Linked DNA regions of Astyanax mexicanus. The protein of the gene in region 2 binds, or shares a complex with, the protein of the main gene of each other region. Links are inferred from orthologs where the notes say so. Each region holds a gene or a part of one and is shown on either strand. Other genes may lie near its edges. The genes, in order: ncbp3, nuclear cap-binding protein subunit 1, ppargc1b and srrt.

Region 1 (7,975 bases), on a different chromosome or scaffold from region 2:
TCCTGAGCTGTATATCATGTCTTATTTTCTGAGTTTATTGGCTCATTACAAGTAAAAAATCCAATATTACCACACCCTATCATTTGATTACTGACATTCATGTTCTGCAGTAATCAGATTATGAAGTGCATCTAAAGGCACTCAGTGATGCATTGATTCAGTAGACTGGACTGGTATCAGGCTAATGTTAAACTCCATATTGAATATTAGTGACATTTCTTAGTCACTGATTTTATAAAATGTAATTGTAACCTGTATCTTTAGGCATTTCAGACCCTACTGGCAGCAGTAGACCCAGGTGGAGGCAAATCCATGCGAAACCAGTCAGCATGAGTTGCTTAAACATTAATAAATCATGCTGTGTGTATCTGCTGTGTTTGGCAGGGGCATTAGTGAAACAGCAGTGACGAGAGACCAGGAGCACTGTGTGAAGTCACATCAGACACTGGCTGTGGAATGACACCACATCGCACTGAGGAGGAAGGACACTGGAGATGAAATTATTTCTAAGGCTTCGTCTGCCTCTGAGGCAGCGTTTGTTGTTGGACTGCACACACTTTATAAACACTGATTACACACTCGCTTCAAATTTGGAACATTAAACCACTTCAAATCATGTTAACGTAGAACATTACGCCTACGCCTTTCTCCTACAACACAAAGGCTTCTGAGAAGTTCCTAAAAGGATGGTGTTAGAGCTTATGATAGCAATAGATATATTTTGTAGACAGTGGACAGTGACAGTCATGCAAATTAGGATAAAAGCATCATATATTTTATTCCAAAGCACAAAACATTCTCCCACATTTCCTCATTTATCTCCAGCCATTGTTCAGATTGTGCACATTTGTCACATTTTATGCTGGTGGCAGGAAAGACAGCGACAAACTGCCTCTGCTAAATCAGGGGAATGAGATGAGAAAATGACTTCGTTTTTTTCCTCACATCTATTTCTATGCTTAGTAAAGGGCATGCAAGATTCAGATTCAAAGAGATGGAATACATTGTAGTACATTACTCAGTTGAGTCTGTTTTTTCACATTAACACAGAAAGCGATAAATGGGGTCTATGAGAATGTTGTTTAATTTTAGTTTCAGTACTGTGCACACTTTTAGGCACCTGTACAAATTATTAAAAATTTAAAAGCTCCTGATCTGGGCAATAAGAGTTTATTTACCCAATAAATTAATACTAGAATTAATACAATGAACAATAATCAATACAGACACCATCCAAAAGAGAAACAACAGGTGCGCAAAATGAAGAGTCTATGGCATCAGTGCGTCTCTATGAGTGCTAAGTTAATTATTCAGCTATTATTCATAATGCAGAAACTATGTGGAGATGCACAGGTTTATATTATAGGGACTTTAAATCTGATGTTATAATAAATAATAATAATAAATAATAATAGTTATAAGAGTGAAAAACTGAAGTGTGGGCTTACAATACAGGGTCTAGTAGCATTATAAATTTTAAGGTAATGTTAAAAATTACCAGTGAAAACTCAATAGACTTAATTAATATTTTAGTACACATAGAAAATGAAAATGTCTACACCTTTTAAAATCATATTTACAAAATTCTCCCACTGTGTGCTTCAACTCTCTCCAACACTGTTACAACTAGTGAGACTGTATTAATTTCTGTTTTAATTTTAATGTTTTAATTGGCGGTAACTTTAGGAAGGGGCTTTACTCTTACAGCTTTAAATCAGGTGAGCTTGAACTGAAATCTAAAACCAAATTGATTTAAAAAATGTTATAAATGTGTTATAATGTGAAAAATTCTTATTGCTGAGATTAAAAACCTCATTTTGTGGCTAAAACGTCGAGGGAAGACATTTCTTGACCATGTTAAACCACCAAACTTTCCAATCTAAAGGTTTCCAGCCAATGTCTTTCATCCATCAACTCAAACAACTACAGTGAAATTGGGTTTAAAGCTATTAGTTATTCAGCTATTAGACATTTTCCAGCATTTGCACAAAGTGGTTCTAAAGAGATTAACTTTACTCAGTTAATACTCCACCAACTACAGACCTTCTTATACCACTCATAGTATTTATTCTAGTTTCACAAGTGCTGTATTCGATGCACAAAACAAACTTGAGCACAGTATTTGTTTATATCAAGTCAAATAAAAGCAGAAATGCCATAACTTACTTAAGATTAGCTGTTTTTGGATAGTGTCTTTTTACAGGCTGATGAATCATAAATATGTTTTACTGTTTGCCGCTTGTTTGGCCTCAAGTCGTCACTATGAATTGACCAAATCTGCTAATCATACCTGTCAAGTTTTGGACTTAAAAATAAGGGAAATTTTCCGTCACCTGCTTCGAGTCGCCCACCAACCCAACCGAGGTTCAGAATCCCTTATATTTTAAGACAGGTTTACAATAAATCTAAATAACCACCTGGGAACATTTTACAAACTACAATTAGATTATCAAAATCTGACAGGTCTATCTTTGTTGACACTGAAATGTTGTGGACATTCCTACATATGTAATTCTTATAATACTGCCTAAGTTAAACCCTTTTCTAGACATTTACATGAAATCATCAGCTTTTACAAAAATGACATGGACCAGATATATTGCATAAGTAAATATTAGTCCAAAGGGGCCTAAACAATTAATAATTTAATTAATACTTCTTTCTATTGATCAGTCCAGTCCTGTCAGTCAGTTAATTTCAGCCCTCTTCACATTTTCTCTCTCCAGATCAACCATCTCTTTTGCCCCTTCTAAATATTAAATTACACCACAATACTCTTAAACTAGCCCTGAACTAATAAAATAAATACAGTTTCGTTCATTATAGCTTACAGTAGGCCTGCAAACCTAAATTAATAAACACAGTTTGAAAATGAAATAGTTATTGGCTGATCAGGGCAGGTTGAACATCTAATTGTAAAGTTAAGCTAACTGAGTCACAAGCTGTATTTTCTTAAGCACACAGTCGGTTTGATCCGACTGTTTCAGAAACAACGTCATCATAGTTTACATGTTTAGCTCCGTTACCTCGCTGTATATCCAGATATGCTTTAACGTCAGCTGCTCCGACTAGCTCTCACAGCGAGGGGGGCGGGGCTTTCCTACATTGCGCTCCGCGAAACCAGGAACCTGATTGGCTGTTTCACCTGAAAGGCGGGACTTTCTCCTTGAACCGGCACTACCATTGGTTAAGAGACACACAGTGACCAGTGCCCTGTCGCCTCATTAGTAAAGTTTTTTTTTATATATAATACGGGAAATTTACTGGAAAATACTAATACGGGAGGACGGCGGGAAAGAGGAGTAAAATACGGTAGTTTCCCGGCCAAAACTTGACAGGTATGCTGCTAATACAACCATGTCTGATGTTTTTACCCAAGAATGCCTTGTTGCAGCTCATTAAAACACCTACCTTCATCCACAGACATGACATTCCAGAAGCTGCACAACTCTTCACATCGTCTGTAAAATCCACATGGCTGGATCTCGTCAGCCTTTCTGCAAATGCAGCGCAACAGACCAAGAGTTTCAGTACCACTTGCATTTTTATTGGCTGTACTGTGTATGTTAATTCATTATTCCATGACTGACCTTGCTGTACAAATGTAGGATGATCTCACCTGTATGTATATGTATTGTGTAAATTTGTTAATGCAGGATTAGAAAATCAGAATATGGCCAAACAGAATTTAAAATCGCACATGTTTATAAACAGCTCTAATGTGTGACACTGTTTTAGAAAGAAAATGAATGTCTGTATATTCTCTGGGAAAGATGTATAGAGAAATATTTTGGTTTCTTGTGGTCTAAATGATTCCTCAGATGTTTTAATTTATTTCACTATGATTGTTCTGCTATATGTTTAAATGTATCTTTATGACTGCTGATTTTTCCAGAATAAAAATTGTATTTTGCATATGTTTTTTCATCTTTGTTTCCCATAAAGTGTTCTTATACAGTACACTTGAATGAATGCATGTCCACAACTTATTAAAGTGTGAAAACAAGATCTTGACTTGTGGCCATAACTTAGTAAGGCGTGGGAACAAGATCTTAATGCATGGCCACAACTTAGTAAAGCATGGTAATGAGATCATATGTCATGGCCACAACTTCTTAAAGCATGAAAACAAGATCCTTTAGCATGGCCACTACTTTTTAATGCATGGTAACAAGATTCTAAATTGTGCCCACAACTTATTAAAGCGAAAAAACAAGATCCTAAATTGTGGCCACATCTTTTTAAAGTGTGGGAATAAGATCTGTATAAATGGTCATGACTTATTAAGGCGTGGAATCTAGATCCTTATGCATAGACACAACTTGTTAAAGCATGGAAACGAGATCCAGTTCATGGCCACAACTTACTGAAGCATAGAAATGAGATCCTAAATTGTGGCCAGAACTTAATAAAGCATGGGAACAAGATCCTAATATATATATATATATATATATATATATATATATATATATATATATATATATATATATATATATATATTTACATTTTGTCACTTCAGGGGCCCCATACAGTACTCATGTAAATAGGGCAGGTTATAATAACATTATATGTTAAACATAATTATTATATTATTATTATTATTATTATTATTATTATTATTATTATTATTATTATTATTATTATATTATTATTTGTATACCTTGATAGCTATTGTAGAGGCTACACTATGCTAATGACCACAGAAGATCCTAATGCATGCCCACGACTTAAAATTAAAGCGTTGGAACGACTTATATGGCCAGGACATAATTATCTCGTTCCCACACCTTAATAAGTGATTGTCACGCATTGCTATTTTTTTTAATATTATTATTATTTTCTTTTACATAATGTCAGTTTAGAGGTTCTGTACCGTACTACTGTGGAGAGGGCGGGTTATAATAATCTGCTACGTTTTCTCTCTCTTTCTCTCTGTCTAACAAGTGGTCTCTCCATCTGGCTGCTACAGTAGAGTGCTGGCGCGCTAGAAGCCTGTGGTGCCCGAGCCTGCGCTCTGTGTCCGCTATAGCAGCGTTAGTTAGCTCGCTAGCTTAGCTCGCTGGGTTTTACTCCGCTGTGTTCAATGAGACAGACGTTAGCGCGGAGCTCCCGTTGTTAGCTAGCTGGATGTCATGGCGGCTGTTCGCAGTCTGCGGGTGTCCGTGAAACCCGAAAGCGCCTCGGACCGCTCGGACTCGGATTCAGACTCCGACTCGGATCGAAATGCCAGAGAAGCGGAGCCCATGGAAGTGGAGGAAGGCGAGGTCGAGTTCGAGTCTATCCCCGTCCGCCGAAGTTTGAAGGAACTGCTACCGGTGAGTTTAGCTAGGCCTCAGTTAGACCGCGGTGTGTCCTGCTGAAGGAGGCCGATGGATGTCGCAGCTCGGCCGCTACGGGAACTGGAGGATAAGCGTTCTTAGCTAGCTAGCTAACCAACACTACACAGACACGTCTACTGTCATATAACATAGCTAACTAGCCTAGCTTAGCTTACTGGGTCTCATGCGTTACGCAGCTTGACAGTGTTAGCTACATTTCCATCCGTAAATGAGGGATTTTATTATGTTGTTTAACAAGCTTAGGCGGCGCTCTGTAGCTAACCTAGTTAGCTAACTAACACGCTATGAATTACCTAGCTATAATAACGTGTTGTAACGTTAGCTCAAGTCCCAAGTTTTGATGCTAATGCTTGTAATGCTATGTAGCCCTGCTAGCTAGTAGAGGTGGGTAACCCAGGTCGGGAAAGTAAAAATCCAGCCCAGTGTTTTGAACCAACCGCCTCGTCTGCTCTGCGGTTGGTTCAGGCAGTTTGATACAAAATCCTGGGGTGGAATTTTACTTTCTAGACCTAGGTTACTCACCTATGCTAACTAGCTATCGTTAGTCATGTTCAGTTGTTGATTATGAAAGATGCTTAACAGAAAACTAGGAATTAAATAATCTATATTTTAAAGCCTTCGTTTGCCGTTTTCGTTATTAAGCAGTTTTATTTCATAATGTTCTAGTGAGTTATTATATTGTGTGTTGTCAGTTTTACATAGTTAGCTTGGTCTAAGCTAGTTACCTGGCTACTAGCTCGCCAGATGGCTAACTTCTCTTTCTTGTGTTTCTGAGGGTTTGGGTTCTTTTATAATATTATAGTATTTAACTTATTCTTTTTCCTTTCTTGCCTTATAATAAACATTTATTTCACTCATTGAAGTATTAAAGTATTAAGGATTTTATATTAAAAGTTTTAGATCAGTTAAGTTAGTGCTGTAGCATCATATGGCAAGCTGTTTTAGTCAATAAATACACCAGTGATATCCAGGGTAAAAGTAAATGAATGGTAACGTTACTGGACAGATGTAATCTGTCTCTAGTAGATTATGGAAAATGAGAAGAGTGAGAAATTTTCCTTTGCTAAAAACAGCAAAAAAGTAGTACCCTCATGTAATAATTAGGGTGGGTAATATGGCACGATATTTCAGGGTATAATATCGTTCACAATATAAAAAAATGTTGACGATATTATTGCGTACGATATGATATGGCACAACCCTAATGCTAAGTCATAATGTGAAATACTACCCCAGACTTAGTACCTCAAAATAATGACTTGGCATTTCATAAAATAATGACTTAACATCTAATAATTATTAGTTAGTGGAGGCCCTTACTTTTTCCAAGAGGCAGAAATAGGCTTGCAAAGATATCGGCTATGAAATGTTGTAATGATGTCAGATCTAAAGATTAATAAAAAAGGACTGGACGATATTACCAAAATTTATATCATATTTTTAGTTTCGGTCGATGCAATATAATTCCTATACAGTTACAATAAAAGCCTCTTGACTTGCCTTCGGTATCAATATGAACAGCATAAAACCCACCACCTGTGATGTATGTGATCATGCACTGACAGAGTTGGGAGAAATAGTAAAATATTATATCACTTCATCAAAAATGGTGCATCACTCCATCTGTAGCAAAACAAGCATGACATTTTTATTCAGTTTTTTTCTGCACATCACAAAATGAAACATTTAAACTTTGCAATAAAAAGTGCAGCTTGGTCAGTGCTTTTATGCATTAGTTTTTGTATATGCATATTAAAGCATGTTGTCTATGATAAGAAAGTGTATCATTGTACAATCAAATATCAATATATTGCCCAGCTCATAATAAAGAGATTTTAGCCAGCTATATTTATACAGTGACACATTCTTAATGTACTTTTACCCAATCATATGTTACCTTAGATTTACATGGAATCTCTCATACTTCCTTCTGTAATTACATTCATACTAGTAAAGTGCAATTAGAGGTATTAGTAATTACGTTTTGTAATAGTAGTTGTGATTGCAGATGTCTCCACTGTGATTCTGCTATAGTTTTAAATATCAGTAATCTTATTATTAGTAAAAATCATTTGATAGTGACTGTTATACAGATAGGAAACATTACCTGTATAGTTCAAAAATCTGGCTATGTTGTTTACTATTTTGTGCTTTCCTCAGGACACAAGCAGACGATATGAAAACAAGGCTGGCACATTTATCACTGGGATTGATGTAACGTCCAAGGTAAGGGTCTTCTGTTTCCATTGTGACATTAAAAAGCTCTCTTAATATTGCTTGTCATTTATTTTCTTGAACTTTATTTGTTTAGGAGGCAATTGAGAAGAAGGAAAAAAGAGCAAGGAGATTCCACTTTCGTGCAGAGGACAATCTTGCTCAGAGAAATGTTGTTCTGGACAGAGATCTGATGAAAAAAGGTAAGTACTCCACTTGAGCTAAGCTGAAATTGAATGGCATTAGTGTTTGTGTAGGCGTAATGATGAAAGACCATTTGTCCTATGTGATGTGAAAATTCAGTGACCTGTTCTTCAATAGAAAAGCATTTTTAAATGGCACGGCTATTTATGAGCCTTGGTTCAACATTCCTGATGCCAAGTATTGGCTAGATGGATTTTAAACCCCCAGCTTTGTAGTGT
Region 2 (7,647 bases):
TAGTAACGATAAGACAAAAAGCTAACAATTATAATTTATTGACAATTTCATCCTCAGCTTTAAGGAGAGCATTAAAATGTTCTGTGGTCTTACCTTTTCTCCAACTCTGCATATCAGTGATTCTAGTCGGTCCTCGATTTCAATTGGCTCAGATGTCCTCCTCCTTTTGTGAGGCTGACCTCCTGTATTGCAAGAGAGAAACACACTGATTTTAACATGGTAATTCACACACACTCTTGTTCCACATCAAACAAATTCAAGAAACTGATACTACAGGTAGCAAATAAGAACCACGTCAGTGGTCATCACTAGGTACACACAGGTACTCTACAGTAGTTTGGCTTGTACTATTTTTACAGTGTCCTAGATAGGAGCATCTGCTAACAAAATACACTCTAACTTAACATATTAAACAGCAGCTGTCCTCAAGATTTGTTTGATATAAACTGAAAGTAGTTGTGCTCCTGAATGGGAAGACATTGTGATGTTGTAAATATTGTAATGTCATTATTGTGCTTCTGATACCATTCCTACAAAGCCACATATTTATTCTTAAAACAGGGTGGTCTGGTAGGTCCCAGAAGCTTTTTGTGGTTGTTAAACTTTTGTTAATGATGATGATACAAGAACTACTGAGAACATGGAGGCACCATAACTGCAAATTCAGACTACATCTGCTCATGAATGCATGTACTAATCATTAAACCAAAGGAAAGAATTAGAACCCAAGAGAGCTGGCAAGAAGTGAACAGGACAGAATCCTCACTAAAACCACCATATGCATTCACTGTGAAGAGAGACCACAATGCACATTTTGAAGTACCTTTTAGCTTACTCACTGCAATTGAATGTACTGTCACTGAGTATTATAACAATATTTAGAAACAGGCCCCCTTTCCTCAATTTAACAAATAGTTTGCTCAATAAGACCTCTCATGATTACCACTTTTCAGAAATTGTAGCAAAATTGTAATTTTATGATCATCTAATGCCACCGGTAAAATGATAACAATAGTGCAATCATTCAAGAGAAAAATTACATTTTAAGTATTAAGACCATACATAAAAACAGTGTTTTAACAAAAAGTCATTAATTATATTACATTATAGCTATACGGGGACATGTGTATAAAATATTTTTATTTATGTAGCTTTTAGAACAGATCTGCACACTATTGGAATTTTCTCAGGAAGTTTCTTACAATAGTTGTTGCTTTTCCTTCACACTGGGAAACTCCAGCTCATCCCAAATCACCATCTTAGTTGGGTTTAGATTAAGGAATTGTGGAGGACAAACACTTTATTTGTTTTGTTTAATTCAGAGTTCTATATATGTGTTCTTTAATTGTTCCCATGTCTTTAATATTTATATGTACTGTAGAAAATTAATTAACCCCTTTACAGGCCTTGGAACGTATAAAGGCTACAAAATGTAGATGACAAAAGCCCTTTTCTCTGCAGTAAAATAGGATTATTCACATTCAGACAACGTTGAGGGCTTTGAAGACTCCTACAGGTTACTAGGAGAAGCTGCCTGTTCACACTCTCCTCAACGCAATCATTTTAGATCAGCAACAGGATCAAATCCAAATTTTGCAGGTTTGAACACAGAAAAAAAAAAACAATTGTAACGAAACGAAAGGTGTAGAGAACATTCAGGAAATACTGTATTCAGGAAATACTGGTTTTAAAATGAAGTTTAGGAAAGTTGCAATTTCAAGATTGTTATTCATTATATTGTTAAAATTGCAGGTTTACTTACATTTAAAAATATATATATTATAAGTATAATTAGAATTTGTAGAAACGTTAATAATCAAACGGGAAACCTTTTCATATAATGCTTGTATAGAAATTCTTAAGATTTAGGAGTGTAATATCAGGCAAAAATAACAAAATGACAAAAATGTTGGCCTGTCAAGGTGTTAACAGTTAAAGAAATAAAGAAAAACACTGAAAAAGAAGGCGTGTATAAACCTTTGACTGGTACTGTAGCTATAAGTTAGTATTAAATAGTTTTTATTGCGAAAGATATTTTATTTAAAATAATCGAGCATTCGTTTAATAGAATGTATTAATGTGTTCACTGTGCGAATAATAAACACTGAGTCTAGTCTCATTAAAAAAAGGAGGGAGGACGATATAGCACCGTTACACAAAGACATACGAGCTTTAGGTAAACACTTAAAAAGCTAAATGGAGCACGATGTGGAGTATACATACTGGTAACAGCTAAATAATTATCTTTTTTGTTGGAAAATTAGCTCTGAGCCTCCTGAGGAGAAATGGCAGTGAAACAGCATGCCTGTGTTAGCATTAGCTAGCTAACGTTAACCTAGCTTAGCTAAGCTTGCTAGTTAGCTATTCCGTTAGCTTCAACTCGAACACCATGTTTTAAGTACAAATGATTAAAAGTTTAGTAATTAAACCAAGAAAACGCAAAATATATCCAAAAAATAGCCAAATAATACCTGCAGAAATCGCTATACTCTGTTAAACTACCCTGCGCCATTGTTTAAAGAAGGGTATTAGTTAGCTAGCTAACCTAGCCCTAGCTAGAGTATCTACCTAAACCGCTAAAATAGCTAGCTAACAGCAACTCATGAAGCTAGGTAGCTAAGCTAACTCTCCATTCCACCTTAAACAGCGCAACGATCGCAACGAAACACCTAAAGCCAGCCCCCGACTCCTGAACCTCAACTGGGGCTCTATTTAAGGTGGACCGGAAAATTTGAAAGGTAGCTAGTTAGCTAACTAAATAAGACAAACTCCAGCCTAGCCGAGCAAACGGCGTCACACAACTCCGCACTCACCGTCGTTCTCGTCGCTGTGCCTTCTCCTAGACATCTTTCAGCGCTCGGTTATCGGTCTACAGATGTTTGAAGTCCTCCTGTGTTATTTTTACAGGTTTATTCTCCTATTTTTTGGAGCCCCGAAGCTAAAAATTTGCAGAAGCTACAGCAGCGAGCCGCCACCACCGTGGAAAACTAAAAGAGGGCGGGACTGTTTAGATACTGTTCCGGAGCGGCAGGAGCTCAACCAGAGAGTCTACACAGAGGAGAATACCCACTTAAGAACGTGTTACTCGTATAGTGCCCATCAAAATTAATGGAACACTGAGGCAAATCATTTTATTTCTGCTGTAGACTGAAACCATTTGAGTTTGACATTAACAGATTATGAAGCAAAAGACCAACATCTCAGCTTTTATAACAGGTATTTACATTTGGACCTGATACACAATTTAAAAGATAGAACCTTTTATCTTAACCCACCCAATTTTTTGTAAGCTAAAATATTGAAACTTGACTGTAAGGTGTATTCCTGTATAAGAAAGTCATCACTGGTGTACTAAGTAACAGATGGCAAACCAGCAGACCAAGGAAAACCACAGCATTTGATGCTCTGGTATCTTCTACCGGACGACATCAAAGCAAAGATGTACAAAAGAAAATCCTTGTAAGGGATAGGTGGGGGCAGAAGATACTGGAGCATCCGAGCCTCAACAACCAGATTCTGGAACAGCTTCATCCACTAGGCAGTCAGACTTCTCAACACACAGAGACGAAGCTGGATGAAAGGGTCAATTAAAATTGAGATAAAGATTTTGTGTTGATGTGTGTGTGACAGACATGTGTACTGGAGATTTATGGAAACACAGAACAAATTGAGTCCTGTATTGTTCTGCCTTTCACACTGAGAATTTTCCACAGGTTTCTGCAATAGCTACAGAAAATTTAGTTTATTTATTTATTATTGCAACACTTAAGTACACAAAATGTTGAAAACTTTAGTACTTCCACAAAAAATGTTGAAAACTTTAGTACTTCCACTTAGTACAAGCTTAAAGAACACTTCAACTTCTATTTAAGTCACTTTTTGGACAGAGCACTCAAGTCTGGACCTCGTAAACATGTTCTGCCTACAGTATCCACTGATATACAGATAGATTTTTTCTTATTTATATTTTCCTATTTTTTTAGTGAAAGACTTTCTCTACTTTTAAAATAAAGGAATATCCTAGACGAGTAGTTTGTTACTAATTAAATTTGAGTTTTTAGCCATTTAGCTCCATTCACCCTTATTCATTGAGGACTCCCTCGCTGGCTCCCTCTAGCGGCATGCAGGGGTTTACTGATATTTCGGGGGTGATATGAAGTGATCAGTCTCTCCGTAAAGCAGCTCTGGCTCTGCCGACACGCCAGTAGCAGCAGCAGCAGAACTGCATGGCGGAGAGAGGAGTTTTATAATAACCCTTGTTTATCTGTTTTAGCTCTTAAACTAGTAACTGATTTATTTCTGATCATTTAATCAGGATTTACTGTGGTCTGAACAGCCTGGGATTTATATTATAACCCCCTGTATGGCTCCTGTGGTTGATTTAGGGAGCTGTAGTGTGTTTAGAGTGTGATGATCAGTAGTCTGCAGTATTACCTCGTGTAGAGATATATCAGCTGATACTCAGATTAATATGGACAGTGAAGATCTGGCAGAGTCTGTTCTTATTCATTTGGATGTGGAGACTCTTATTGCCGGGACTCTAAAGCATGAGAAGTGCGAGATTTCAACAACTCGAAAGTGCTACTCCTACATAAAGAAGAGGGTAAGTTTATTAGCTTAGGTTACATTGTAATAGTTAGCTAAATGTGACACTTTTTAAACTCCTAATTTATAGTTTTTATATATTTATTTAGTCTACACTTTTCTACACAGTTCACAGGTTGCATAACACTAAAACAGTGCACAATTTTAAAACATATACATAGATTTGACATTTATTAAACATATCTGCACTGTCTACATGTAAAGGCTTCTCTGCTGCAACTGATGTAAATAATTTTTAGTTTATTATTTTTTAATGTATATATCCTAATACATATGTTGTTTATATTTTGGTTCACTGATGGTAAATAACGTTAAATAAACGTTAGTCCTTATGTTTTGCCTCATAGGCATCAGTTTGTTTGTAATGTTTTTAAGTAAAAGGTCCTCCCCCTTAAACAAAATCATTATTATTATTATTATTATTATTATTATTATTATGTAATTTTTTACACTGCAAGAACATGGTGCAAGCTATATAATTATACACAGTATATATAATTTTCTTTACAATATAGTTGTTTACAAACAAACATAGCATTGGTTCAGTGTTGACCTGAAAAAAAAAAAAACTTCAGTACAATAAATGTTGAAAACGTTTGAAATATATGTTGAAATATATATTTTTAATTCAGTGTTTTTTCATATTGCCAAGGGTATCGTTATCACAAAAATACCATGAAATATTGTGATATTATTTTAGGGCCATATCGCCCACCCCCATTGCATATTTTTTATGCAGAAATTATTTAGAATTAATATTTGTATGGAAGAAGCATAATAAATGCAAAGAGAGTAAAGAGGTTCAGTTGCCATCTCAAATATTGACATTTTCAAACTTAATACATGAACAATGTAATATTTGTTTAACTATAATAAGAATTAACTTACGTTTGTAAAGTTTACATTAAGAAACTGCTCTATGTTTATTGTTGTTTGCACTCACAATAGTCTTCTGTGACTTTCAGACTTTTGCAACATTTGTGGCGTCTAAGAGGGTCTCATCGTCTCCTACTGATACCTCACCGGTTTGGCAGTGCTGTGACGAGACCTTTTCAGACCCGTCCTCAGTCCACAAGCATGTTTCCAACCTCCACGCTGAAGAGATCGAGCAGCTCACCACTGCGGCCCTGGATCAGATGCTGAGCCAGAGCGAGGAGGCTTTTCAAAAGCAAGAAGACCCAAATGAGAGCCAATCAGACGATCCAGCCTCCTGGATACCCAGCACAAGCCATCTTTCTGAGGAGGAGCTCAGCAAGTAAGAGATTCCTTTAGTATATGATTATTTTACTGTTAGGCAAAAAAAAAGAGTTTTTCTTGAGTTATTCTTTATATTAGCATTTCATGATGAATGTACACATAAAAATGCTCAGAAATAAACTGGAAAAGAATTCTTTTTTTACTGACCATTAAAATTTTTTGGTTTTTTTTCTTACAAATTTTTCCAACATTGGCAATGTATGGGGTATATAATCAAGAGGGAGATGGATGATCACAAGCCATCAAACCAAACTGAACTGCTTGAATGTTTGTAGTTATCCAAAAGCAGTGTGTAAAACTGGTGAAGGAGAATATGCCAAGATGCATAAAAACTGTGATTAAAAAACAGGGTTAATCCACCAAATATTGATTTTTATGAATATGAACTTGTTTTATTTGCATTATTTGAGATCTGTAAATACATGCTCTAAATGACAATATTTTTATTTGGAATTTGGGAGAAATGATGTCTAAATAATAATGTTCATTTTACTCAAACATATACCTATACATTGAAACTGATTCAGAAGCAGAATTTTTCCAGAGCTGTATATGTAACAAAAGTATTGCCAATTCTAATAATATTAGAGTAGAAAGATATGAATCGATTAGTCAAAATATTACTGTTTATTTGTGTCTGGATCTGGATTCGTGCAAGATCTGTGAATTAATCCAAAACACTGGTACCTGAGAGATCTCAATGGATCTACTGTTAACATTGTAATCCTAGATAAGCAGGGCACCCTCTCTGATGACACTTGTTTAAAACCCATATTTTAACTAGTGCTGATATTAGTTTTGTTGCCCTCTTCCAGAGGTCCAGGTGAAGTCCTCCTGTATTACAGCTACTGCCAAATACGAGATCCCAAGCTGATTTGTTCTTGGCAGTCTGAGCTGTGTTCAAGACTTCATCTCACTGGCAAGGTAAACGCAGTGCTCTCCTCCTGATGAGAATCTTCACATGTGCATGAATTGTCACAGTGTGCTGTTACACTACTCTGGAACTTGTGCTCCTCCTGCAGGTGCGTGTGGCCACTGAGGGCATTAATGGAACAGTTGGTGGAACCAAAACGGCCACAAAGCTTTACATCAAGGCGATGCTGTCACACCCCATTTTCAAAATAATGCAAGTGGAAGATTTTAAGGTAGTCCTGCAAATGAGATTGTCTGTTAGGGCTGGTCAAATCAGATTTGCCTGTTTAAAAATAATGTTTGACTCTTTGTTTGTTTTATATAATTATCTAGCAATACAAAAAAAAAGATTCTATAAAAAAAGAGACACCACTTATAATTTAATGCAGGCAAATTTAATTACTTGCAGCCATCATGCCATCCCCTATTATTTACTGTTAATTTATTCACTGTTAACTGGAATATCACTAGTAACTTCTTACAACACACATACCGGAGAACCATGTTTCCTCCAATCATATAGTGTCTATAGATTTATATTCTCTAGATTTTTGTTTTTAAAAAGATTCCAGTATTTTTTATATATTAATACAAATGCATATTTCCTAATACTTTTGTCCTGTCCTCTGTGTTGCTGTAATATTGAAAATTTGCCTGCTGTTGTACTAATAAGGGAATATTTTATCTCATATTAAATAAACATATGTATTTGGGTTTGCTCTCAGACCAGTGAAGGTGGTGCAGAGTGCTTTTCTGAACTTAAGGTTGGTGTCTACAAAGAAATTGTCCCAATGGGTGTGGATCCAGATACAATTTCCTACAGGTTAGCAGGTAAATAGAAACAGTTTCATTCAGTTAAATTGTGATTGTTAA
Region 3 (7,336 bases), on a different chromosome or scaffold from region 2:
AGCAGTAGGTGTGTTAAAGCAGGCAATCCTCTAAAATGTGCTGGGCACCAGGACCAGGATTGAAGAACACTGGCATATCTGATTGTACTCCAGAAAATCTTATTCAGCCACTCCAAATCTCATCTCTTTCATAAGAAAGTCAACTACAGTAGAATAAATACAGTAGCAGGTCTGGTTTCATACATTTAAATGTCATTTTTTATTCTATTACTACCCAAATAGCAAACGAGTCACACCCCAGTTCTGGTCCACACTTTTATCTGTCCCACATACTACCATGGAATGACTGAGATGACTCCGTTAGAAACTAGGTGCCAGATCACAGCCACAGCTGGCAGCAGTTGGGTCAGTTTTGAAACGAAATAGCAATGCTATTCAAGCATTTCACATGGTACGCTGCTGGAGGGCCACATGTGGCCCAGAGTTCAAATGCCATGCCATTTAAAGGTAGCTGATATGGCTAGGCCAGTTTTGGCCCACAGTACATTTGTCAGTGCTGTAACTCAGAGCCGTATTTCTTGCCTTATCTGGGCCGTATTTGGCCATAAATTAATTGCTCAATGTAATTTTTTATCATTTTTAGTTGAACTGATTACAAGATCTTTTAAAATAAGACAATATGGGCAGATCATGTCTCATATGCATAAATGCTCAATTCTGAATATCACCACAACCACATTATTTTACTACTGCCTTGTAGCCACCCAGCATATATAAACACATCACCCTTATCAGTTTATTAATTTGCATAGCAGTGTTTTCATTTAGCATATTCCCTCATTACTTTAAGAGAGTGTTTCGCAACTCTGGTTCTAGAGGTACCCTGCGCTGCACATTTATTGCTTTTCCTTCTCCCCCCACACCTGATTTAAATAATCAGTTAACTAACAACCCCTTTCAGAGTTATAGGGTGTATAAAAACAGGGAATTCCCAAGAATATTCAGGGCAGGGTGCCTGCAAGGAACAGGACTGAGAAACACTGCTCTGTAAATAACTCTTAGCCCTAAAACTAGAACCTTGTTCACATTTACAAACCTTTTTTAAAAATGGTTATATAGGAAACCAACAGTGTTTACAGGTGTTCTTGCACCAATGCTTTTTAAGATCTTTTAAGACCTCCATAAATATAATTTAATCATAATTTCTTCGGTAGAAAATAATTCGCTGATAATGTTAGTTAGCTAGCTGCTAATGTTAGCTAGCTTGCGCTAATATTAGCTAGCTTGCTGCTAATGTTAGCTAGCTCTCCGCTGACCTTTTAAGATGTTAATTACCCAGATTTTAATTTAAGACTTTTTAGGGCCCAGCAGTAACCCTGGTTTATTAGGCATTACTCAAAAAACTGTGTTCTGTTTCTTCTCAAAACTGAAAGTTAAATCACCATTTTAACAAAATACTTTAAATAAATGATCAAAACTGACAAAAAAAAACACTCATGAATTGTTTCTAGTGTTGAGCTCATTAATGGACAAAAAACATGCTTTGACAGATTTCTACATCATGGTGCATTAACCCTCTGCTGCTCTTGGCACAGCAAGTAAGCTGATTGGTTCTTTCTGTTTCAGTCAGTGGAGGGATATACTGTACTTCAGGACAATGCAAGAATACAGTATCACTTTGAGTCACAGACTTCAGTCGTTTTTACAAAAAATGTTTTTACAAACATGTTTTTAAGGAGTCAAAAGTAATTCTTGGCAGTATGGCATTGTTTAGAGAACATTGTGTAGCACAATGGCAGCCATGATAACTATTTTGGTTTGGGTGGTGTATTGTTCCAGAAATTATTTCAATAAACAATATTCATTATTATGTGATACTATGTAGCACCTTTATTTTTGAGAGCATAATAAAAATTACAGTTTTATTTAAGATACAGTCATTTGTCCAGTTACTTATGATTTTCTGAAATTAAGGGACTATCTTCTCCATGGTTTACTCAACAAAAGCGTAAATGTCCACCTATTAAAGTGGACATTCTGCACTCTGACCTCAAAGCCAGTCTAAGCTGCTGGTCTGCAGATCAAAAATAAAACCTGTGACCTATTAGCTGCACTGTGTGTTATAGTAGACAGAGTATCCTCATGCAGAGGCATGAGCAAGAAAACAGAATGTCAATAAAGTAAATTGCCCTGCAGTTTCCCCCAGTGACCCATCCAAATAGTCCATTATAAAGAAACCCCATCAACCGTTGTGTCTGCGAGTTAGAATCACGGACAGGTGGAAAATTAACAGGTTCTTTTAGAGAGTGTAATTGCTGATTTCCTGATTTAGGGCTGGTGTAAAGGCTGCTGACAGGCTGTTTGCTGCTCTAATTTCCAAGTTGAGAATAAATGTTCTGAGTTTCTGGATCAAAGAGTCTATACTCTACATTTATCCTGTTTATTCATTTTACATTTAAAGAGCTGATGTCTAGTTACATTATAACATTTTTAATTTCATTTATCTTTAACTATTTTAATTAATGTTATAGGATTGTTCTACTCTTGCTGTTTATCTATATTTATCTTTATTGTGCCTTAACAACTAAAATATGCAAATGTTATCTGCTTGAATAGCTGCTGTGTGTTGTGCCACTTTTAATTATATCTATTATAATAGATCTTAAGTGTTACTGTTACTGAAGTGTTGTTGGGCGGACTAGGCTACATACAAAAACATTAAAATTGGCTGTTTTTGCAGTTTAGTTTGCAATTATATGGACTATGGACTTTAGAACCAGTGGTATGTTTTGAAATGTACTGTATTTAATGAAACACTCACATGCTGAACATCATGGGACAGGAACAAGTATTCTGTGACTTTTGCCATGTCATGTCTCACTAAAGGTTAAAACTGTACTAACCTGCAGGATGTGTGGTTCCTTCTGCATTGATCTGCTGATGTGACTTGAAAGCCTCTTCACTTGACTTGGATTGTCCCACCTTTCCATTATCTCTTAAAGTTGTTTTGGAGATACATGCTTTGTATTGGACAGTGATGATATACAGTACCAGTCAAAAGTTTGAACACACCCATTCAATGTTTTTATTTGTGTTCCTACATTGTAAATAAATACTAAGTCGTCCAGTTCTTGACAGTTTTCAGATTGATTGACCTTCATTTCTTAAAGTATTTTTTCTTTAATATGATGAGTAGTTCTTGCATAATATGAATTAGAACATTACTCAGATAGGGCTATTCATTGTAAACCAACTCTCTCTCCTTTTCACATCACAAATGATGCTCTCAAACACATTTAGAGGGCAAGAAATTCAAGTCATAACTCTTGACAAGTTCAGCACAGCTGTTAACTGAATGCTATTCCAGGTGACTCTACCTTATAAAGCTAACTGAGAAAATCCTGCAAAGTTGCCATCCTAGCAAGTAAAACTCAACTAAATAAAAAAAATACTTTAAAAAAATTTAGGTCAGTCAATCCGAAAACTGTCAAGAACTTTGAAAGTATCCTCAACTGCAGTCCAGACCAATAAGACCATCATTGGATTCTGGTTTGTTAAAAAAAAAATTGTTTACTGAATACTTATAAATTCTTCTAAATTTGGATGACTTTAGTATTAATCTACAATGCATAAAATGATAAAATAATACAAAAAAACACTGAATTGAAGGTGTGTCCAAACGTTTGTCTGTTACTGAGACTATAAGACATTTTGTATGAATTGATTGCAAATGATATCTAAACAAACTCCTGAAAGTAAGCAAGGTGAAATAAGGCTGTTTTCCCTCCAAAATACAGGTCATTTAATAAGTCTGACCGGGAGTTAACCATATTAGTGAGCATAAGTGAATTTTTCGCATTGTGTGACCTCAGTGTAGCGGCACGGTTTGTTTACCCTAACCTTGGTCATTGTCAGAATTACAGTATCAGCCTCCCTGAAGGACAAGCTGAGCAAGTTTGGGAAGAAATGGACCGTTTAACCACAAAAATACGTGCCGTCGTTACGTTGCGTCCGGGGGGTGAAGTTCAGCTGAAAAGGACAAGTTAATTCCAGTGTGTCAGAAACATCCAGCTCCTCCACAACACGCTCCGAACAGGGAAGCGAGGCGGGAGCACCGAGCCGGGCTCTGATTGGACGAGAAGCCAGGCGTACTACAGATATGCAAAGCACGCGAGGCGAGCCGGGCTGTGATTGGCCGGCGCTGCTGCTATCTGAGCGGCTGGAAACAGTGTATTCTGGAGGGCGGGGTGTGTGTGAGTAGAGTAGGGCAGCAGCGTGTTGTGCTGAAAAGCGGCTTCCTCGAGCCAACACGTGCGCGTCCGTCACATGACTCGCGCTCACGGAGCTGCTGCTGCTGCTGCTGGCCGAGCACTGGGCAGGATCCGCGCGCACTCTCGCTCGCCTGCGCGCTCGCTCGCGCGCGCCTGTCACGCTGGTTAAATAAATGGACGGTCAGGCAGGTCACAGGAGTTTTTCAAAGTCATTTGATCTTACACAAACTTGCCTCAGACAGGGAGCAGGATCTGGCACTGAACGTCTCTGCGCCGTGCCCACGTTTGGCACAACACCCCCCCCCCCCCCCCCCATCCTTCTCCACCAATCCCACCACCATCCTTCCTCGCTTAAGATAGAGTGAAGGGCAGAGGGAGGGAGGAGGAAGACACTGAACCAGGCAGAAGATGCTGCCACACTGTGTGTGAGAAAAGAGAGAGAGATAAATAGAGAGAGAGCATTTCACCACAGTCCCATCTGCTTCCACCTCTGCTGCTTGATGTGTTTATTTCCCCCCCCCCAAATTAAACAAAACCCCCCAGCTGGATTACTGAAGGCGGATTTGGGATAGTAGGTGGGCACAGCAGCAAACAAGAAAAATTCCACACAGTCAGAATCTAGCTCAAAACGAGCTCAGCATCAGAGACCATACGTATTGTGTATTCCTTTGGCTTTTGAGAGTCAGTCTGTTATAATATCTGTTCTTCCAGCCAACATTCTTATTCATGTGGGCCTCACATAGGTTAAACATGGACTAGGTAGGTTTCAGGTTGGCATATTCTGTGAGTGTATTGGGTTTGTACATGTGCTTTTTTTTACTGGGTGCCACAAAAATGGCCCCATCATTACTGCCAACTTTAATGTCACATAGATCCCATGTGTAGGACCCAGATGGGGACCATCACTGACCATAATGGGGCTCATTTCTCTTATTAATACATGGGGCAAGTGTGGGATTCGTGGACAAAACTTTCTGGTTCTCAGTTGGGCTGCCTAATAGAGATTCGATCTCTATCCAAGCGAGTGCATGTTTTGTCTGATCCCAACCCAGCCTGACCCATAAATTATCATTATGATCTTGAGCCCGATTTAAACCTCTTTAAAACTCTTTGATTTGAGTTGTAGGTGCCTGTAATTTCTAATATTTGCCCCTTTTTAGCAGCCACGTCCACACCTCTGTTTTTAATAGCATTAAAAACCCATGCCTACGTCACAGACCATTTTTTTGAGCCAGAGATTGGGTAGGGCATCAGGTCGTTTTCAGACAGACTATTTTAACGCGGACTAGGTGGGTTTCAGGTGGGCATATGCTGTGAGTAGGTTGGCTTTGTGTTTTTTTTTACTGGAACCCAGTTTAATGGACCCCACCATTACTGCCCAACTTAACCCCATGTGTAGTGTATGATCCAGATGGGGCCCATCAGTATCATTCATAAGTGAGGCCAACATGGAACCCATGAACAAAATGATCTGGTTCTCAGTTGGGCAACCCCTACAGGCCCCACATGGTCATATTATCTGGGCATAGACCAGATTTTCTTGTCATTAAAATGCATCCCCAGAGTGACCAGATGTAAAAAGTACACCAGCACGTACATTATTTCCGTTACCGTTTTTCATCATTCTGTTCCAGGAGACTGTTAAGACTGTTAAGACTTTATGGTAATGGTGAGGGTTTTATAGCAAGGTTGAACAATAGACCTAGACGGTTCTTTCATCCTTAATATGGCTGTTTCAAAAAAGGCACCTGGCTATTTACTGTATATTGCAAGGGAACAATATCTAGCTCTCTCATCTACCAGTAGAGCCAGAGAGCAGAAAAGAGAAGATCCACAGTAATAATCATTTCAATAAATTCTAATATTTTTGTTTTATAGTATTTGCCTTTGCCTAAGGGAATCACCAAAACTCATTCAGTTTACACTTTTGTATTAAATGCAAATGTTTTTTTTTTTTCTGACAACAGCTGAATGTGATTTGAGCAATCTTAAAGGCATCTATCTGTGGTGTTTTTATAGGCTTTTTAATGCAAAATAAAAGCTAAACCAAAACCAAATCCACACGTGATTCAGTCACTAAAAACATGTTAATGCTAGGTGTAAAAAAAAGTCCTCAGTTGTACAATGTTTGTATGTGATTTCTAAGGACAAACATTCCCTTATAAGTTGCACACACAGCAAATTCATCCGTGTGAAACAAACCTGCGCTTGAAGCTGATTTGCTTTGTCTGGTTCTGTCCTAGTTCAAAACACCCAGTGTTGTTGCTGAACGCACACTGAGTTCTCTTCCTTAGAAAGCAAAGGTCAAACCACATTGAAGTTAGCAGTGTACAGTACACAGTGAATTGGGGAAGGTTTTCATGAACCGGTTAAACTCCCCCCTTTCTAGGAAAAGGTAAGTCCAACTGATTAAACTTTTAAACATAGTCTCTATCTAATGTTTATAACCCCCTCCACTCCACTCCTCCACCCCTATCCACCACCTTCCCAGAACTATGAACTTTTCCCCCTTCATCCAAAATTTCACTTTCATGTTTGACCTGACCTGGAATTCAGTGTTACTCCAGCTCACATCAAAAACAAGCCCCTGCTTTGGACAATGGCCGGAGGCCTCTCTGTTGGAGCCGGCCTTGGGTGAGTGACCTGTGGGGCCGTGTACAAAGCTGTGGAGTGACCGCTTGGTAGTGGCTATAGCGCCTGTGTACATTGCTGCATGTGTGGCATTCCTGCTTTTGTGTCCTCATTTAGTGGACTTCATTTCCCGCCAGTGTTGTCCACCTCCCGCCCAGGGGCTAAACCTACAAAGAGCACTCAAAGACTTACCAGCTCAGGCCTTAGCAAGAGCAAAACAAGTCTACAGAACAGAAAACTGGGGCCGACATCTTCCACGTGAGCGAGAGACGTGATTATTCACAGGGCAAAATCGCCCATATTAAATGACCACCTACTGAACAATGACTGACTCAACTAGCCCACACAGTGTACAGTGGAGACCACAGCAACAATGAAAGTCTTCATTTTAACAAAGATTGTTTTGCTTCATGATTCAGTTGCACTCCCTTTGTTCAAGACTGCAGAGATCCAGGCTAGTTCCAGTGTCTGCTCTGGCACATTCTTGTCTCCGC
Region 4 (7,345 bases), on a different chromosome or scaffold from region 2:
TCTCCTCATGCGTTTCTGCTGGGGGCTCATGTCGTGTCTGGGTGGGGAGAATCTCTCCCTCCTGCCCCTCTCGTAATCCCGGTACTCCCCCCGGCTACGTCTCTCTCGGCCCCGGTCCCACTCTCTCGCCGACGGGCGCCTGCAAACCACAAACACACAAAACACACATAAATAATCCTGCAAGCACTTTTTAATATACGTGATATACGTAACTTATTTTCTGTTAAAATGGTGCTGAATGTTACAGGACATGTCATAAAGGCTAACTGAAAAACCACTGCTCTGATTCTTTTCAAAGTAAACTTTTTCTCTTAGATTAAATCAACGTGGTTTGTTTTTTTGTACTATAGGCCTATTTGGACTGGATTATTTTCTCAGGAGGTTCTGGGTAATTTTCTCTTTTATGTTTTTTTTTTTATCCTCGGTAATTTTATTTCCGTCCAGAACGATCATGTTCGTGTTTTTCACAGACGTCCTCTGAACTCTTTTTCGTGCTCCTCCAGTAATTTTAGTCCCCTCTGGACGCACATCTTCGTTTCGTCTCACCTTTAATAAAATAGATATTTGTCCACTGCTGCGCACCGTAATTACACTTTGGACGTGCGTTTCCAAGGAGATCCACATTAAAAACAACAGTGTGTGGAAATGGAGGAGCTACTGAACGTGAGGTCATGTGACTGAGAAAAAAGCCTAAAAACCCCCTGGTCATCCTGTTTTTACAATTGCAGTCCGGATGCAGGAGTTTTATCACTGAGTAGAACAGTGAAATATTTTTCACAGGTGTCCCCCTGAGAAACTAATTCCGTCCAGACAGGGCTTTAGACAGTTTTCCTAAAACAAGCGAAAAACTAAAATCTCATATCACCAGGTTGTTGCCAATACACAGCCCTAATTATCAGTGAAATATGAGACCAGAGTTTTTTCCTTTTTAGCACCAATGTGTTAAAACCATGAATGTTTATACTTTGAAGGTTTCCAAGTAACAGTAATGTGTTAGGAACACACTAAAACGTGAGAAACACAAGAACTCGGGTTGGGGAACCCCTGTTATAAACGGTTATTAAGTTCTTGTACTAAGTTATATTAAATTCCCAGCTGCTCACCGGTCACTCCAGTCGTCTCTCCGCCGGTCCTCCCTCTCTCTGGAACGGTCATAATCGCTCCTTTCCCTGCGGAATTTATCCCTGCGGCGGCGATCGTACTCATCATCACTGTCTGCCATCACGCCCAATCACCAACCAGTCTCAGATCTCACTAATAAAGAAAATATACAAGAAATAACATCAACTTCAATACAGAATGTGGAATACAGATCTCTAAAAGTGATCCTCAAGGGGGTCTAGTATTATAAGCTGGAAAAAAAAAATCCACTTTTAATAATGTGACTAAACCCCATACATTACGCATATACACACACAAACATTTATCAAGACTGAGCATTGAATAAGTATTTTTTTAATTGACTGTTCCACCTTAAATCTACTACAGTTACACTGTACTGCAACCAATGTCACGTTTACAGTGCACGCAACAGCATAATTTAAGGTGGAACAGAACATTCAGTAATAAACTTAACATTGGCAAACTATAGCACAATTTACTAAGTTAAATAACTATATAACATTTAAGTAAGTGAAAATAGCATTGCGAACTGGCTAGACAGTAAACTACAATACCTCTGGTCCAAAGGTTTAGAAGAACAATTTAATATTTAAAGGAAAACAAAAATAACTCCAATTCACACAGCACAACGTGAAACAAAATATTGCAATATTAAAGCTAAACCCTCCATTGGTACATATTGTAAAAGCTGTGTTTTCACACCTTGGCACTAAATAAGAAAGTTTTCCGTTCCACCTTAAATTTCCCCATTGTTTGCACTGTAACGGGGGCATTGGTTGCAGTATGAAACTGTTGCAGATTTAAGGTGGAAAGGAAAATTCAATGAGCCTGTTTTAAAGGTGATAAACTTCACAATTGTGCACTATGGTACAATTTACATGTTTAAATAGCTGTATATAAAAACTTAACACAATAAACAAGATTTAATAAAGGATATCTGAAGCGATTAGCACTGCTAGCTAGCATAGCTAACTTACCAGTTAGCAAGCTAACCTAGCTAACGCTAGTTCTGCTCCAAACGTGTAGAATAATTTTATATATTAAAGCAATTTAGGCTTCAAAAAAAGTATTTAACTCAAATATTCAGATAAAACGACATACACTCTATGGTTATCTTAGCTAGCTAGCCTAGCTAGAGCAAGTAACGTTAGCTTAGCTTATTATACAAGCCTGTCTGTGTTCCAATACGAGCAGTAGACTAGCTAACATGCTTACCTATATTTGAACGTTTGTTTGAGATATTACACAGATATGAACGTACCATTTATTAAATATATCACTTATTTAACTAATTTTACTGACAAATGAGCTACATACGTAACTGTTCCTTAAATATGTAGCTAGATATCTCAAAAAACAAGTACGCTTAACTACGCACCCTACTCAGGCACCCTACCTAAGTGTGTTTTCTCTCCCATAGGAGTAAACTTAAGCTTTCTCCATAAACACACTAAACAATGAATCTGTCAGTAAAGAATCAAAACACTTTAAATCAGACTAAACTACTCCCAAACACCCACTAAACAGATAAATAAATAAGTGTACAGTTAAGGGCGCGAGTGCGCTTATTGGAGCACGGCCCAGCTATAGGCTGGCTAGCTCGCTAGCTTCACTCTCGAGACTACAGAACAAAAGTAAAGGAACAGATTAGCCCAAAATACGTTTCTATTACGCTGCTTTCCACATACAGAACCTTACACAAACTAGAATATGGGTGTAAAAGGTATAAAAACAGTAAATAAACAGAGACAAAGGCAAGAAAAGCCGCGGTACCGGTAACTACTCGGTAAAATCCCGCCACCCGCCGCGGTCTCGCTGCAGAACGGACGAAGCAGGCTCCCGGATGTTGCACTGATATCACGCAGCAGCGCCCCCTCCGGCCAGAAGAGCAAAGCGCAGCCCAAACACAACACTTCAGAATCAAAGTCTGTATATACTTATAAAGTAAATTATGGTAAATTTAGTTTAATTTAGGTAATATATAATCAATCAATCAATCAATCAATCAATCTACAAAATAGGTAAGTACGTTCATAATAGGGATGCACAAAAAGGATTTTTATGTCTAAAACCAAAACATGTAAATAACTAAATAAAATATTTATCCCAAAGGCTGAATATAAATAAAGTGTATAAATTATGCACTCTTTCACATATTAAAAGTAAAAGCTGTATCTTAAGTAAAACAATATTTTTAGCCAAAAACTGGCCTAAAATAAATAAAAGATCCAAACGCAGATAATTAATGCATTGCTTATAAATAGACAATTAAATAAATACATAAAAAAATAAATCAATAAGTAAAAAAAAAGATAGAAAGGGATAGAAGGTAGAAAAATAAAGAAATTGAAATAAATGAATAGGCAAATACATAAATCAATAAACAAATAAAGGTAGAAATGAATTGAAAGAAGAAAAAGAAAGAAATAGACAAATAAAGAAAGAAAGAAAGAACGAAATGAATAGACAAATAAATAAATAAATCAATAAATTAATAAAAATAGAAATGAGTAGATGATAGAAAAATAATACATTAATAAAGAAATGACTAGACAAATAAATAAATCAATAAGTAAATAAATAATTAAAACAATAGCTAAATAAATAAATACATTTAAAAAAAAAGACCTTTGCAAAAATTAAATATTTTTCGAACGAAAGCATAGTAAGATTCATAGTAATAAAACATATAGTAATACTGATTGATATAAGTTTTATAATGAGCATATATCTTGTAAATAAATATACAAATAAAACAATTCTGCCTATTAATTACACTGTAAGAAAATTTAAGGAAATATATCATAAATATTCCCTTAATTTAATAAGAATATAAGTGAGAATCTGTATAAATATGCTCTGATTTGTGTGTTATATGTAATAATAAATGTAATATATAGGAGGGATGTGGTCAGTAAAGGGTTAAAGGGGTTTAAAGGGGTTAATCCAGGTCCAGTCAGCTGATCAGTGTCGTGACTGTTCAGCTCTGCTTCTGCTCTGTTCTCATAGTAAAACGGTAAGACAAGCTCGATTTCAGCCTTATTTTACTGTTTTATATCGATTTATTCATGTAATTGTGTTTTTTAGTTGATATTTCTCGTTTTAAGCTCGTTTTTAATTGATTTTAGCTTTTAACTGCTCTAATTTACTCGCTTGTTTTTCGAATTAGCCGTTCCACCTTAAATGTTGCTGCAGTTGCATTCTGGCGCCCGAGGCGCCAGAATGCAACTGCAGCAACATTTAAGGTGGAACGGCTAATTCGAAAAACAAGCTTATTTCAGCTTAATTTAGGATTTAATTCGATTTTAGGCTTTTATTTTACTTTATAGTTCATGTATCATTTAATTAAGGATGTCATGCATCTGTGCATTTATTAGAAATGTTAAAAATAAATCTTAAATACACAGAAATATACAAAATATACACAATATACCGCTCTAAATGTACTAAATCCATTAAAACACACACACTGCTGCTTAAAATACAACAATAAACTAATATGTACAAACCTACATATATATTACTAACACATAGCCACAAAGACACATGCATTCAATATACAGCAATATATTAAATATATAGAAATACACTTAGTATACATTGCTAAAAAAATGCTATAAATACTGCTACTAATGCAAAAAAAAGTACTACTTATACTTTAACTAATTATAATCAATATACATTAAAATAGCTATCTCTATATTTTAAATATATGTATTTCTTTCTTAATATACAGAAATACACTATGTAAATTAAGTGGACATAAATATACTAAATAAACTAAAAATACACTAAAAGCTGCTGCACCATTAAAATTATTTCTAATAGAATATTAAAAGAAACAGAAAATTAATAGATTACAGAAAAGTATTAGAATATAAAAAAAGAATATTACAATTAATTTAAGATATATTATGTGTGTTACAGTAGTCTATAAGTAGAGTCTATAATTAGAGTTAACGCCCAAGTGAGGTATTTAGAGAGACTGTGCTGAATTCAATTATAGAAACCAACCTTTATTTAAACTCAGGAGAACATTGAGGGTGACCCTTATTTACAGTGCAGCCTAGCATTTACAGTTTATAACAAATTCAAGACATATATAACAATAAATAAAATAAAATAATAATAATAATAATAATAATAATAATAATAATAATAATAATAATAACCATAAAAAATAACACATAAAAAGTTAAGAATTTATCAAATTTAAAATAAAGAAAAATGCTAAAAAGGACAAATGAATAATAATCAACTAGTATAATAAGAATCTAAATAGAAAAATGAATTTAAAAAAATTACTATTTACTAAATAATATGTACTGATGTATAGATCAATTTACAATAGATACGTCGTTGTATAATTTTATACAGCAGTGTAGTATAAAATGCTATTTATTTAGTATTTTTGTGTAAAATAAACATAATCACAAAGCAGTGTTATAAGTAGATATGTTACTATATACTATTCTAATAATAAAATACAAGCAAATATACGTTATTTATTTATTTATTTATTTTAATGAATTTTATCTTTAAATTATTTGTTCACCCCTCCAATCATGTGATGCTATGATCGTCGTCTGCTAAGCTAGCTGAGGTATCAGGGTTAGCAGTTGTGTAGTGTTCTCCTCCAAGCGTGTTGAGCTGCAGTTTGGGAAGAAACACAGCACACAACAGAGTCTGCGCTTAGACAGTTACGCCACTCAGGAGCTGCTAGACGGGAAAAACGAACTTTGCTTGGATAAAATACGGTATTTAAAGCACATTTTATTTATTTTATAACTATATTCTCTCTTTTTTCGTCACTCAGACACACTCTCACTCAGGATGGATTTCTCCAAGCTTCCCAAAATTCGGGATGAAGATCGGGAGGGACAGTTCGGCTTTGTTCACGGCGTCTCCGGACCCGGTGAGTCTCTGTTCTGTTCTATTGTGGTCACAATTAGTGCTGGGCGGTATATCGTTTTATTTGATATACTGGAGGGGAAATTAAAACCGGTATGCTTTTTCACATACTGCCATACCACTAGAGGTGCTGCAGAGTGCTGTGCAGAATAGAACCACCAAAGAAGCACACTGACACGGCTCACTAGCTAACGCTAGCCAGTTAGCATAACAAGCTAACGCACTGGAGTGATGGTAGCTCATCCCTGTGGAGTCAAACACTCGTCTCGCTCTGTCTAGCCTGGAGAGAAATGAGAACAGCACTTTATCTGAAGAGCTCCTGCTGCTGTTCCTCACTGCATGAGTGTTTTTATCTGAGAAAAATAGAAAAACAACAGCAAACAGCAATTATTCACTCAGAAAAAGGAGGAATAGAATTGCGCAATCAGTCCACAGCTCTGAGAAATTTCCTCTTGTCCCCCAGATGAGCCCAGAATCGGATCTGGGTACAGAATCATTTATTTAGTACAAGAGATAAAACTCCCTAAAACTCTGGATAAGAGATGAAAATAAACTTCAAGAGCAGTAACTACAGGCCTGTTTAAATATTAATAATGTAGATGGAAGGATCATTTTAATGCACATTGAACTGAATGTATTAATTAATTGTGTGCAGTATAAATTTATTTCTAATTTTTCCCATTTTTCCCATTTACACGGCCAATTACCCAACCCACTCATTAGGACTCCTCCCCCTATCACTAGTGATGCTCCAACACACCAGGAGGGTTAAGAAGACTAGCACACACCTCCTCCGATACATGTGAAGTCAGACTCCGCCTCTTTTTGAGCTGCTGCTGATGCTGTAGCATTTCCAAGTAGCATCACAGCGCTAACGCTCGGAGGAAAGCGGTGCAGTGACTCGGTTCTGATACATCAGCTCACAGACGCAGCCTTGTGCTGATCCACATCACCCTAGGAGTGATGAGGGGAAAGAGAGAGCGCCATCTACTGTACTGTACCCACCCAGAGAGAAACTGGGCCAATTGTGCTCCCTCTGAGCGCCGGCAGCTTGATGGTAAAGCTGCATGAGTGGGGGTTCGAACCTGCGACCTCCCGCTCATAGTGGCAGCGCTTTAGACCGCTGGAGTGCAGTAGAGCTTTTGATAAATGTCTCTTTTTTTAAATGCATAAACATTGAGTGTTTTACTGTGATATAATTTTTTGATCATACCTCCCAGCACTAGTCACTGTGTTGGGTAAGAATATGTTCTGATACGTGTTTACGCCGCAGTGGTGACGGCCTCCAGCATGGCGGGAGCTGCGATGTACG

Evidence for each region.
Region 1: the proteins of nuclear cap-binding protein subunit 1 (region 2) and ncbp3 are in contact, whole or in part, in a cryo-EM structure (PDB 8BY6), measured with the Homo sapiens proteins. The link is inferred for Astyanax mexicanus from reciprocal best matches to the Homo sapiens genes NCBP1 and NCBP3. Residues at the interface, in NP_002477.1 of Homo sapiens: Lys330, Ile377, Glu378, Cys380, Lys381, Pro384, Pro388, Gln389, Ala392, His420, Asn423, Phe424, Gln425, Arg427, Trp428, Ser429, Glu431, Asp432; in NP_001107590.1 of Homo sapiens: Glu572, Asp574, Glu576, Leu577, Gln578, Ala580, Trp581, Gly582, Leu584, Ile585, Lys588, Glu589, Arg592.
Region 3: the proteins of nuclear cap-binding protein subunit 1 (region 2) and ppargc1b are in contact, whole or in part, in a crystal structure (PDB 6D0Y), measured with the Homo sapiens proteins. The link is inferred for Astyanax mexicanus from reciprocal best matches to the Homo sapiens genes NCBP1 and PPARGC1B. Residues at the interface, in NP_002477.1 of Homo sapiens: Glu26, Asp29, His30, Ser33, Leu34, Lys37, Val38, Lys41, Ser42, Ala43, Cys44, Asn49, Gly52, Leu53, Val56; in NP_573570.3 of Homo sapiens: Tyr1006, Glu1007, Ala1008, Met1009, Asp1010, Phe1011, Asp1012, Leu1014, Leu1015, Lys1016, Glu1017, Ala1018, Gln1019.
Region 4: the proteins of nuclear cap-binding protein subunit 1 (region 2) and srrt are in contact, whole or in part, in a cryo-EM structure (PDB 8PMP), measured with the Homo sapiens proteins. The link is inferred for Astyanax mexicanus from reciprocal best matches to the Homo sapiens genes NCBP1 and SRRT. Residues at the interface, in NP_002477.1 of Homo sapiens: Tyr461, Gln463, Lys511, Lys557, Ser558, Ser560, His561, Ser564, Ala567, Lys568, His570, Lys607, Ile609, Arg610, Thr611, Gln612, Met648, His651, Glu705; in NP_056992.4 of Homo sapiens: Asp857, Pro858, Arg859, Val862, Glu863, Tyr864, Arg865, Asp866, Leu867, Asp868, Ala869, Asp872, Asp874, Phe875, Phe876.

Annotation. Positions count from the first base shown.
Region 1 is NC_064424.1:10,355,162-10,363,136, forward strand, and holds the start of ncbp3 (nuclear cap-binding protein subunit 3), read left to right. Parts: upstream 1-4,956; 5' UTR 4,957-5,132; coding exon 5,133-5,315; intron 5,316-7,499; coding exon 7,500-7,565; intron 7,566-7,650; coding exon 7,651-7,756; intron 7,757-7,975. Other genes in the region: rap1gap2b (rap1 GTPase-activating protein 2b), read left to right, coding at 385-393. UniProt on the Homo sapiens protein: Associates with NCBP1/CBP80 to form an alternative cap-binding complex (CBC) which plays a key role in mRNA export. NCBP3 serves as adapter protein linking the capped RNAs (m7GpppG-capped RNA) to NCBP1/CBP80.
Region 2 is NC_064409.1:65,453,169-65,460,815, forward strand, and holds the start of nuclear cap-binding protein subunit 1, read right to left. Parts: upstream 3,004-7,647; 5' UTR 2,848-3,003; coding exon 2,814-2,847; intron 183-2,813; coding exon 94-182; intron 1-93. Other genes in the region: thiosulfate sulfurtransferase/rhodanese-like domain-containing protein 2, read left to right, coding at 4,472-4,603, 5,571-5,860, 6,678-6,786, 6,885-7,007, 7,500-7,605. UniProt on the Homo sapiens protein: Component of the cap-binding complex (CBC), which binds cotranscriptionally to the 5'-cap of pre-mRNAs and is involved in various processes such as pre-mRNA splicing, translation regulation, nonsense-mediated mRNA decay, RNA-mediated gene silencing (RNAi) by microRNAs (miRNAs) and mRNA export.
Region 3 is NC_064417.1:38,406,795-38,414,130, reverse strand, and holds the start of ppargc1b (peroxisome proliferator-activated receptor gamma coactivator 1-beta), read right to left. Parts: upstream 3,013-7,336; 5' UTR 2,931-3,012; coding exon 2,844-2,930; intron 1-2,843. UniProt on the Homo sapiens protein: Plays a role of stimulator of transcription factors and nuclear receptors activities. Activates transcriptional activity of estrogen receptor alpha, nuclear respiratory factor 1 (NRF1) and glucocorticoid receptor in the presence of glucocorticoids.
Region 4 is NC_064408.1:1,332,135-1,339,479, forward strand, and holds the start of srrt (serrate RNA effector molecule homolog), read right to left. Parts: upstream 3,003-7,345; 5' UTR 2,896-3,002; intron 1,255-2,895; 5' UTR 1,223-1,254; coding exon 1,104-1,222; intron 140-1,103; coding exon 1-139. UniProt on the Homo sapiens protein: Acts as a mediator between the cap-binding complex (CBC) and the primary microRNAs (miRNAs) processing machinery during cell proliferation.